Callithrix jacchus: one gene and its partners. The protein of the gene in region 1 interacts with the protein of each later gene in a pairwise test. Links are inferred from orthologs where the notes say so. Each region holds a gene or a part of one and is shown on either strand. Other genes may lie near its edges.

Evidence for each region.
Region 2: the proteins of RGS2 (region 1) and CTSB interact in a two-hybrid assay, tested with the Homo sapiens proteins (2 studies listed by BioGRID and IntAct). The link is inferred for Callithrix jacchus from reciprocal best matches to the Homo sapiens genes RGS2 and CTSB.
Region 3: the proteins of RGS2 (region 1) and NIPSNAP1 interact in a two-hybrid assay, tested with the Homo sapiens proteins (2 studies listed by BioGRID and IntAct). The link is inferred for Callithrix jacchus from reciprocal best matches to the Homo sapiens genes RGS2 and NIPSNAP1.

The regions. Positions count from the first base shown.
Region 1 is NC_133519.1:49,997,586-50,001,332, reverse strand, and holds the start of RGS2 (regulator of G-protein signaling 2), read right to left. Parts: upstream 2,162-3,747; 5' UTR 2,132-2,161; coding exon 2,022-2,131; intron 1,075-2,021; coding exon 973-1,074; intron 871-972; coding exon 809-870; intron 239-808; coding exon 72-238; intron 1-71. UniProt on the Homo sapiens protein: Regulates G protein-coupled receptor signaling cascades. Inhibits signal transduction by increasing the GTPase activity of G protein alpha subunits, thereby driving them into their inactive GDP-bound form.
Region 2 is NC_133514.1:10,221,207-10,224,853, forward strand, and holds part of CTSB (cathepsin B), read left to right. Parts: intron 1-1,333; coding exon 1,334-1,462; intron 1,463-1,757; coding exon 1,758-1,855; 3' UTR 1,856-3,647. UniProt on the Homo sapiens protein: Thiol protease which is believed to participate in intracellular degradation and turnover of proteins. Cleaves matrix extracellular phosphoglycoprotein MEPE. Involved in the solubilization of cross-linked TG/thyroglobulin in the thyroid follicle lumen.
Region 3 is NC_133502.1:200,168,946-200,172,592, reverse strand, and holds part of NIPSNAP1 (protein NipSnap homolog 1), read left to right. Parts: intron 1-194; exon of another isoform or gene 195-291; coding exon of another isoform or gene 292-741; exon of another isoform or gene 742-887; intron 888-3,235; coding exon 3,236-3,306; intron 3,307-3,451; coding exon 3,452-3,592; intron 3,593-3,647. Other genes in the region: large ribosomal subunit protein eL29-like, read right to left, coding at 292-741.

The sequences.
Region 1 (3,747 bases):
TGGATTCTTTTGTTTCACTTTTGTGCTAAAAATGTCCTGACTGTGCTGAAATTAGGAACTTTTTGTCTTACCTCTTTTGGAGCTTCCTTTTCTATAAAGTCAGTATATATTTTCCTTGCTTTTGAGGACAACTTTTGGGGTGATTTGGTTTTTTTGAAGTCTTCACAGGCCAGCCAGAATTCAATATTTTCTTCACAGAATTCAGACTTTAAAAAGGCCCTGAATGCAGCAAGACCATCTGAAGAGGGGAGAAAAGAAAGCATGCAGAATGTTAAGAACTGAGTGACCGAATGATTCCTTATGTTCCCCCTAGTACTTCTACCTCAAATTTTAATTATTTCTAAATGACAGTAATTTTCTAGATTTTGCTCAAACCTGCAATTCTCAAAATTTAGCTTTTTAATGACTAAGATGCAGTAGGTAAAATGCTTATGTTGGCACTCTGCTGCAAAAATATAAGTACTTAACTTTGCTGTCAATGCAAAATAAATATTTATAGGGGAGCCATAAGTTCTCTGGGAACTAAGCCTCTTGAAAACATTGTATGCAATGGAAAAACTGACTTGAACTTAACTATAAGCAACTGCCACTTTAATTTTTTTTGGCTATTTTTCTTCCCCACTTGGAGGGAATACATGCATTTATTTCCATTTTAAACCCTGGGAAATAAAGGAGAGAAAAATAGGCTTTATCCTATAGTGACTGCACAATCTAATTCCCTCAGGCAAGCTGCTCTTTTGCAGCATGAACACAGCCTTTCCAGGCTTTTGTGATAATAGCAATGGCTCAAGTTCAAGAATTAACTTACATTTGCTGGCCAGCAGCTCATCAAATGCTTCTGACCACAGCTGTGCTTCCTCAGGAGATGGCCTGAAAGACAAGTTTTGCATGTTAGCTTACGCACATCAGAGTTCCCCTTTTCAGTTCAGCAACTAACTATTCATACTTGCAACTACGGGATTCTCAACTTACTTGGTGAAAGCTTGCTGTTTGCTTTTTTTGCCGGTTTTGGGCTTCCCAGGAGTAGAGGAATTTTGCAAGAAGTAGCTTAAACGGGTCTTCCAATCTTTTAAACTAAAACAACAGAAAAAAATTTTTTAAAAAACATAATCACTAAGTACCAACACTTCAATATGCTTCTGCAGCTGAACGCATTTTTACCAAATAAAGGCACCCAGTAACTAGAGACAAACCGCATAAGGTAAAGCAAGAACTCTTCAAATAACAGTCTTACCACCCACTTAACATTTAAACTCATGTACTGAACAGTTTCATCCATTAATCTGATCGTATCTACTACTTTTACAGCTAAGGGCAGGGCTACCTAGAATCACTAGGAGTATTTTAAAGAATTGTTAATGAATTTAGTTCAAAAGGCAGATACTATTTCAAAAGGATACCAGTTTGTTTGCAAGGTTAACTACAATTCCGAGACGTTTCGCAGTTAATGAAAAGGGCAGACGTGGAACTGTCTGGAGCCAGCCCATGCTTCTGTCTTTAGAGCAGGAGGTTCCTGACCGTGCCAGAGTGTGTACAAAGAGGTGGGTGGGCGACTGATTCCCCTGCACTCTCCCTTCCCCACCTGCAACCCTTCATTTAAGCAGACGCTGCACAATTATTTGTTCCACATTCGTGACTGGGTGAGATCTGCTCTATAATTAAAAAACAAAAATGGATTTTAAACGAGTATATTCAGAACCGGCAAGAGCATCTCCTTCCAGCAGCTGTGTAAAGCGGACCAGCCGCAGGATTCTGATGTCATTTTCAATGCGGGAGGACAAACAGCCAACCCACAATTTCTTAGCGCATCCACCACCGCCCTCCTATCAACTACGTCCCTCGGCTCCTACACTACCCGAGCGTCACCCAGATTTAACGTTACTTAACAAATTGAGCTTTTCGACTTTTTTTTTTTTCCCTGCAGAGGGTCAGGCTAGCTTCCTAAGATCAAAGCCGAGCCGGAAAGCACCGCGTTTGCAGCTCGCGGTGGGTGGCGCGAGAGGGAAGAAAGCCATACTCACAGGGTCCGCTTCATCTTTTCCCGCTTCTCCTCGCTCTTGTGGCCGCTGCCTGGGCTCTTGTCCATGGGTCTGCAGTCGTGTTGAACAGCCAAGAACATAGCACTTTGCATCCTCGTCCTCCCGCTGCTCCGCGGCTGTGTGAGGCCGGCGGGCGCCGCAGTATTTAATAAGAGGCTGCGGCTTGGGGGCGGGGCCTCGCCGCTCCGGCCCCGCCTCAAGAGGACGCGGATTGGCCGGCGGCAGACGCGCGCGGGGATGGGGTCAGCGCCCGCCGGCCGCAGTCACGGCCTCTGCCGAAGGGTCTCGAAGCCAGGGAGCTGCTGACGAGTGCGGCCCCGGCTTCTTGCGCACTCGGGTCACACCGCAGGGCCGGCTGGGGCCGGTGTGGGAGCGAACAGAGACTTTCCAGTGTGGAGAGGTTGCCCCCGACCTTTTGCCGAGGTGTGGCGGCCGGCGGGCTGCGGGCTTTGCGGCGGAGGGGAGCGGAAGTTGGCTGCGGCGCGGCGGGGGGCGCTCCCTCAGCCTCCCTGACCGGCTCCCCGGCCTCGCGCTTCCCTGGCGGGAGCAGGTCGCCCGCCGCGAGGCCGGAGTGCGCTCGCCTGGTTTTGAATGCAGAGTGGGATTTTCTCGTTTTTGTGAGCGCGCCGTCCTGCTGCAGGGACTCGCTCGACACGCCCCGGTCTGTGAACCGAGGCTGCGAGGAGACGCTCGCCCGCTTCTCCCCGCCATTAATTTGAGGAACGGGGTGTCCTGAAACGTGGGCTGCCCAGGGGCGGGCGGTGCGGCCTCCTCTGCAGCTTTCGGGGCGTCTCGAACACTTTGGGGATGAACGTCAGTCGGGGATTGAACGAGGGAAAACGACTGTCTCAGAAGACGGCGCGTTGGGTTTGCGTTTGCTGTCAGTGCTGGGCACGGGCTGGGTCTGCCTGCCCGGTCCGTCCTCGGGAGCCCTCGGGCGCATCTGCAGGCGAAATAGAATCCCAGACTTCCTAGGGTGGGAGAGGAGGCTGGAGACGCGGTTCTCAGCCTAACGCCCCAGGGCCAGCGAGGTCAAGGACTCACATTTCCTCACCAGTCATTCTGGGTTGAGTTGGGATTCACCAGAACTTTTAATAACTGGCAAAAAAGGAGTTAACAGTTTCCCTGAGTAAGTTTGATTCTTCAGGTGTCATCTTTAGTCCTGGAGTGTTTACAGCGACTCGATTGGTAAAGACAAGACAGATAACCTCGACCACAAAAATGAGTTGATTTCGGATAATATTGCCAGAACTAGCCAGTGACATGTTTAAGCGGCTTTGCCACCAAGCTGTAGATATTCTATTTGTATAGACTTGTTTAAAACGAAACTGGGGGCTGCGTGTAGTCACGCCTGTGATCCCAGCACTTTGGGAGGCCAGGCGGGCAAATCGTGAGGTCAAGAGGTCGGGACCATCCTGGCCAACATGGTGAAATCCTCGTCTCTACTAAAAATACAAAAATTAGCCGGGCGTGGTGCCACTTGCCTGTAATCCCAGGTACTCGGGAGGCTGAGGCAGGAGAATCACTTGAACCTAGGAGGAGGAAGTGGCAGTGAGCTGAGACCGTGCCACTGCACTCCAGCCTGGGAAGCAGAGCGAGACTCTATTTCCAAAAAAATAATAATAATAAAAAGAAAGAAAATCTGAAATAGTGAATATATTCTTAAGGTGAGCTGCCAGTAGTTGGAGCTCCAAGTTTGACTTGGAGG
Region 2 (3,647 bases), on another chromosome or scaffold:
TGTGTTGTGCACAGAGAATTCTGGAGGCATCTTGGCTAGTTCTTTCCCATCCCTTAGGAGCCAGCTCACATGTCTTCTCTGTGGAGGTGTCCCCTCGCTGGCGGCTGGCCACACCTGCCCTTGCCGTCATGGCGTTCCATTCTTTCCCAGCATGTTCTCCTTATAAGGGCAGGTCTTCCTTGTCTGCACTGGGTGACACACTTTATTCATCTGTGTCTTTGCAAAGGTGTAGATCATGTGTCACCCTCGTGCATGAACACACAGGGAGGACCTTGCCCTGGGCAGTGCCATAGGGACTCGAACGAAGGAAACTGGATAGTCTTTACCCCCAAGTACTGTCTTAGAAATCTCTCCTCCAGTAGGCTGGGCACGGTGGGTCGTGCCTGTAACCCCACACTTTGGGTGGCTGAGATGGGCAGATCATGAGGTCGTGAGATCAAGACCATCCCGGCCAACATGGTGAAACCCCATCTCTACTAAAATACAAAAAATGAGCTAGGCATGGTGGTGTGCACCTGTAGTCCCAGCTAGTCACTACTCAGGTGGCTAAGGCTGGGGAATTGCTTGAACCCAGGAGGCGGAGGTTACAGTGAACTGAAATCAGGCCACTGCACCCCAGCCTGGGCAACAGAGCAGGACTCCATCTCAAACAAATATCTTGCTGCAGAAGCAGTCTTTGCTGAGTCTCATTAATATTTTGCTAGATTGGAAACTCCAGAGCTCTCAGCTCTTATAAAACAGTTTGACAAAGGAAAATGATTCTGGCAAGAAAAAAATGACTAAAGATGGTGGTTCTTAGCACAGTCCTCGCCCATATTGTTAAAAAATGCGTTTCTATTTGACAGTGATTTCCCTGCTGGGGCGAACCTGGTTGGGCAGCGCTGAGCATCTTAGCTGGCCTCTTTCCCATCTAATATTGGCCACCACCAGCCCTCCCTTTTCTCCTCTGTCACCTCTCCAGGGTGTACCCAGAGCAGCTATTTTAAAACTTAGCGCCCAGGCTGGGGTGCAGTGGTATGATCTCAGCTCATTGCAACCTCTGCCTCTTGAGTAGCTGGGACTACAGGTGGGCACCACCATGCCCAGCTAATTTTTGATTTTTAGTAGAGACAGCGTTTCACCATGTTGGTCAGGCTGGTCTAGAACTCCTGATCCACCCGCCTCAGCCTCCCAAAGTGCTGGGATTACAGGCATGACCCTCTGCACCCGGCCTTAAAACTCTTTAAGCCATGTAACCCTTTTGACAAGCCCTTAGTTTCTCCTGCCCGGAGGGGTGCTGTGGGGCACGGGGCAGTGGCCGGGTCTCACTTCTGACCGGTTCTTCCCAACTCAGGAGTATACCAGCATGTCACTGGCGAGATGATGGGCGGCCACGCCATCCGCATCCTGGGCTGGGGCGTGGAGAATGGCACGCCCTACTGGCTGGTTGGCAACTCCTGGAACACTGACTGGGGTGACAACGGTGAGTGGTGGGGAACTGGGAGCCACACGCAGTGGCCATCTTGGCTTTCTCTGTTCTACCTGCTGCACAGCCTCAAACTGTGGACCTAGGCCAGGCTGTGAGCTCCTTCTAAATGCCAGAGGCCAGGATGGGAAGGGTGATGCGGGCGGAGGTGTGCCCCATGGTGTGAGGGCCGCGCTACTGAGCAAACAGCAGGAGCTGTCGGGGGTTAGAGACTTACTCCCAGCTTTTTTAGGGATGAGTCTGAATATACCGACCCTTGTCACATTTTAAAAGCACCTTTTTTTATTCCCAGGCTTCTTTAAAATCCTCAGAGGACAGGATCACTGTGGAATCGAATCAGAAGTGGTGGCTGGAATTCCACGCACCGATCAGTACTGGAGAAATATCTAATCTGCTGTGGTCCTGTCCTGGGGTAGTTTTCCCTGCACAGAGTCAGGGATGGGGGTAGAAATGTCTTAATCTTTGCGTCCCTGTAAGATACAGGGCCTAAAGAACTGGACTGGCCAAACCTCATATCAACCATCAGAGCTGTTTTCCAAGGAGACTCCCGGCTACCTCCGAGCCTGCTCAGTGGACTGATGGCTGCAGTGTAGACAGTTAAGCCACGTGAGCCACTGCTGCCAGCACGGAGCTCCTTTCCCCATGACTAGTGCTGTAGGGAGTGCCTGCTGCCCCATCCCTGATCCATCCATCTCCAGGAGCAAGACGGAGGCTCAGGAATAGAAAGCAGAGTTCCTATCAGGATTCAAGTTCCCCCCTCAGCAGTACCTCTAAGCAAGTAGCTTTCTACATTTGCTCCAAGATCAGAGGACAGATGGTGTTTGGAGCCCTGTGGAGAAGCCACATTCTCCCAGGGCCCCTGCATCTGTCGAGGTTTGCAGTGTCAGAAACTCTGATCTTGGCCTCAGCATGATTCTTTTTTAATAGTTTTCTTTTTCGTGCACACTGCTGGTCACGCGGATAAAGGAGTGCAACAGTGGGAGGCCGTGCTAGTTTACAGATTGCCTCCTAACAGCATGGCTCAGAACGAAACCTAGTGGCTGTGACTTGCTTCCGACCCTGATCTCTACTACCACCATGAAACTAGTGTAGGAGAAACCAGCTTTTACTGTTTTTCAAAAATTCCTGCTTCACGCTGTCAAGTTAAGGAATGCCTGTGCCAATAAAAGGTTTGTCCTTCAACTCAAAGTCGGCTCTGATGGCATCTCAGAGGTCATTTGTCACTGCCATCCTCAGCCCTGCAGAGAATCACACCCAGGGACTGCATGCCCTCAGGATTCTTGGGACCTCAGCTTAACTTCCCACTGCATCCCCATCAACCATCTGTGTAAGTCCTTGATGAGCTTGCCCTTAAGAACTAACTACAGAGCTGTGGTGGTGGTTTTTTTTTTTTTTTTGAGACAGAATCTCACTTTGTCATCGGCGATGGAGTGCAGTGGTGCAAATTCAGCTAACTGAAACCTGCACCGCCTAGGTTCTAGCTATTCTCCTGCTTCAAACTCCCGAGTAGCTGGGATTACAGGTACCCACCACCATGCCAAACTAATTTTTATATTTTTAAGTATATACAAGGTTTGACCATGTTGGCCAGGCCAATTTCAAACTCCTGGCCTCAAGCTGGTCCACCCATCTCAGCTTCCCAAAGTGCTGGGATTACAGGGTGAGCCACCGTGCCTGGCCTCTATTTTTTATTAGCCACAAATCCAGCAGTGACCTGAGAATTCTCATGAAACAGGCCTGGTATCTTGGTGATCTCACATAACCAAGATGCCATCCCGTGGAGGGCCACATCCCCCAGATGCCTTCCAGAGGGGCCGAGTCAGCCTGTACACAGTATTTTGAATCTGTATGCCACTGGTTTGCATTGCTGGTCAAGAAGTCTCGTGCTCTGCATAGGCCTGGTTTAGAATCGTTTTACACCAGTTCTTGCAAGAGTAGAGGAATCTCGAAGAACCAGCGGTCACTCTACTGTCCTGTCAAGATACACCTCAGTATCACCCTTCCCTACTGAGGCTGGATGGGGCTAGCTCTTTCCAAAAGCATTCAAGTTTTGCTTCTGATGTGACCCAGAAGTTAGGAATCAGAAGCTCAATCAAATAAGCTCTGAAACTCTGAGAAACATTGCAGGGAACAGTTGTGAGGCCCATCACGGCACTTGAGAGATGCTTAACAAGGGTTACCA
Region 3 (3,647 bases), on another chromosome or scaffold:
CTCACGGCACCACATCCTCCTTGCTCAGTGCTGTGCTGCCCAGGACTCAATTCCTCAGATTGACAGTTTCATTCTTTAGTTCCAGACTACTGCTCATGCTCTTTCTTCTGCCTTAAGCATGATTTCTTCCTTGCCTGCTTAAACTGGATCACCCGTCTTTTATTATTATTATATTTTTCCTGCCTCAGGTTTATTTGTACAAATAGCATAGGAGGACCCCAGCCCCATGCAGATGGCAGTCCTGGGGGGTCCCACCAGTCCTTCTGTCCTCACGTTGGCAGACAGAGATGTCTACTCTGAAGCCTTTGTAGGGGCCTGGGCACCTTTGGGAGCCTGAGCTGGAACTGAAGCTGGAGCTGCAGCCTGGGCCTTGGTTTGATCCTTGGCCTTGGCCTTGACCTTTGGCCGGCAGAGCCTGAGCCCCTTCCCAAGCTTAGGGTGGGCAATGCAGGCAAGTCGATGGAGCTTGTGGCTGACACCCTTTGGCATCTTGGGCTTAACCTCCTTGGGCTTTACAAGGGCCTTGATGGCCTCGGCACGTGCACTCATCGCCTTGGCATTGTTGGCCTGTGTCTTCTTTAGGCCCTTCTTGTTGTGCTTTTTGGCAAAGTGCATGTTCCTCAGGAACTTGGGGTCCACCCCCTTAAGAGATTCGTATCTTTGTGATCGGGGTTTCTTGATGCCATTTCTATGCCATTTTCGAGACTGGTTGTGTGTGGTGTGGTTCTTGGACTTGGCCATGTCTGCACCTAAGCCATGGTTCCCGAAGCACCTAGCCGTCTTTTATTATTTTTGTGTCAGAGTTTTGCTCTTGTTGCCCAGGCTGGAGTGCAGTAGTGCAATCTTGGCTCACCACAACCTCTCCCTCCTGGGTTCAAGTGATCTTCCGGCCTCAGCCTCATGAGTAGCTGGGATTACGGATTCCCACCACCATGCCCAGCTAATTTTTATATTTTTTAATAGATACAGGGTTTCACCATGTTGGAAAGGCTGGTCTTGAACTCCTGACCTCAGTGATCTGCCTGCCTTGGCCTCCCAAAGTGCTGAGATTACAGGCATGAGCCACTGCACCTGGCCTTTTTTTTTTTTTTTTTCCTTTTTCTTGTGAAACAGGGTCTCACTCTGTCACCCAGGCTGGCGTGTAGTGGTGTGATCTCAGCAACCTCTGTATCCTGAGTTCAAGTGCTTCTCCTGCCTCAGCCAGCCTACCAGGTAGCTGGGATTTTGGGTGTGTGCCACCATGCCTGGCTAATTTTGTATTTTTAGTAGAGATGGGGTTTCACCATGTTGGTCAGGATGGTCTCGAACTCCTGACCTCAGGTAATCTGCCCACCTCAGCCTCCCAAAGTGCTGGGGTTATAGGCGTGAACCACCACTCCTGGCTTATTTTTTTTTAATTTTTCTATTTGGGACAGGGTCTTGTTCTGTCATCCAGTTTGGAGTGCAGTGGTATGATCATAGCTCACTGCAACCTCGAACTCCTGGGCTCAGGAGATCCTCTTACCGCCGCTTCTCCAGTAGCTGGGACCACAGGCATGCACCACCATGCCTGAGCCAATTGTTTTGTTTTGCTTTGTAGAGATGAGGTCTTGGTATGTTGCCCAGGCTGGTCTCAAACTCCTGGGCTCAAGTGTTCCTCCTGCTTTGGCCTCCTAGAGTGTTGGGATTGCAGACCTGAGCCACTGTGCTTGGCTGATCTTGAGGTTTTTTGTTTGTTTGAGATGGAGTCCCCCAGGCTGGAGCGCAGTGGCAATATCGCAGTTTACTGCAAGCTCTGCATCCTAGGTTCAGGTGATTCTCTTGCCTCAGCCTCCTGAGTAGCTGGGATTACAGACACGCGCCACCACACCTGGCCAATTTTTGTATTTTTAGCAGAGACAGGGTTTTGCCATATTGGTCAGGTTGGCCTCAAACTCCAGACCTCAGGTAATCAGCCCACCTCGGCCACCCGAAGTGCTGGATTACAGGTGTGAGCCACTGCGCCCAGCCTTTTAATATTTTTTGAAACTGAGTTAGGTCTTGTTGCCAAGGCTAAAGTGCAATGATGTAATCTCACCTCACTGCAATCTCCATCTCCCGGGTTCAAGCAATTCTCCTGCCTCAGCCTCCTGAGTAGCTGGGATTACTGGTATACGCTACCATGCCTGGCTAATTTTGTAATTTTAGTAGAGATGGGGTTTAGCCATGTTGATCAAGCTGGTTTTGAACTTCTGACCTCAGGTGATCCACCCGCCTTGACCTCCCAAAGTTGATTTTTCAAAAATTTAATTTAATTTAATTATAAATTAATTAATTAATTAATTTGAGACGGAGTTTCACTCTGCCACCCAGGCTGGAGTGCAGTGGCACAATCTTGACTTACTGCAACCTCCATCTAACAGGTTCAAGTGATGCTCCTGCCTCAGCCTCCTGAGTAGCTGGGATTTCAGGTGTGTGTCACCACGCCCAGCTGATTTTTGTATTTTTAATAGAGATGGGATTTCACCCTGTTGGCCAGGCTGGTCTCAAACTCCTAACCTCAAGTGATTTGCCTGCCTTGGCCTCCTAGAATGCTTACAGGCCTAGCCAATAATAGGGTTTTTAGAAATTCTAACAGTACAAAGAGTTTTCCAGGCAAAGTAAGCTTCCCTCCTGCATGAGGACCCACAGGCCTCCATTCTATGTCCCAGGGGCATCTACTGTCAGTCTCTTAAAGTCGCTATTAAGAGGTGATGCGTAAATCAGCATCTCTGGATGTGTCCTTGCCCCCTCAACATATCACATATACTCTTCTGTTCCTTGGTTCTTTTTTTCAGTGCACTGTCTTGGAATGTTCCATATCAGTCCATCAAATCTCCCCTGTCCTTTTGTCCAGCTGCCCCTTTGAGGCCTGGTGGTCTTCCTTATGCATGTTCCCAGGGCACAGGACACATCTGATCCTGTTGTTGCTATTTAAGGAAGGTGGGGTAGGTAGGAGCATTATTCCCATTTTCAAGATGAGAACATTGAGGCCTAGAGCAGTTTAAAGCCACTGGGCTGAGCTAGAGCTCAACTCCAGTTCTCCTAGACCTGTGTCTGGGGTCATCCCCTCCACAGCATGGTTCTCCACCACGGCAGAGGAAACTCAGAGAGTCTTGCTGCTACAGGGAACCGGGTCACCTGCCTCCCCCACCACATGTACACTCAACTAACCTTGGGGAGGCCATCTGCTGGGGGTCCCAGCAACCCACTGACCTATACCTCTCACCCCCAACAGTGCACCTGTGGCGATTTTCAGGTGGCTACCCAGCCCTCATGGACTGCATGAACAAGCTCAAAAACAATAAGGTATGTTAGTGTCCTCTCAGCACACCTCTCTGGATGTTAGAGGCAGCCCAGTCCTGTGCTGGGGACTCCTCTGCCACCCCATGAGGCACACTGTCAGGATGGAGGGCACTTCCTAGTAGCTGTGCCTTTACCACCATGCCCGCAGGAGTACCTGGAGTTCCGAAGGGAGCGGAGCCAGATGCTGCTGTCCAGGAGAAACCAGTTGCTCCTCGAGTTCAGCTTCTGGAATGAGCCACAGCCCAGAGTGGGTCCCAACATCTATGAGCTGAGGACATATAAGCTCAAGGTGCCTCCCTCCAACGGACCCCTTACTACCCCCCAACTTCCCTGCTGCAGTGCTG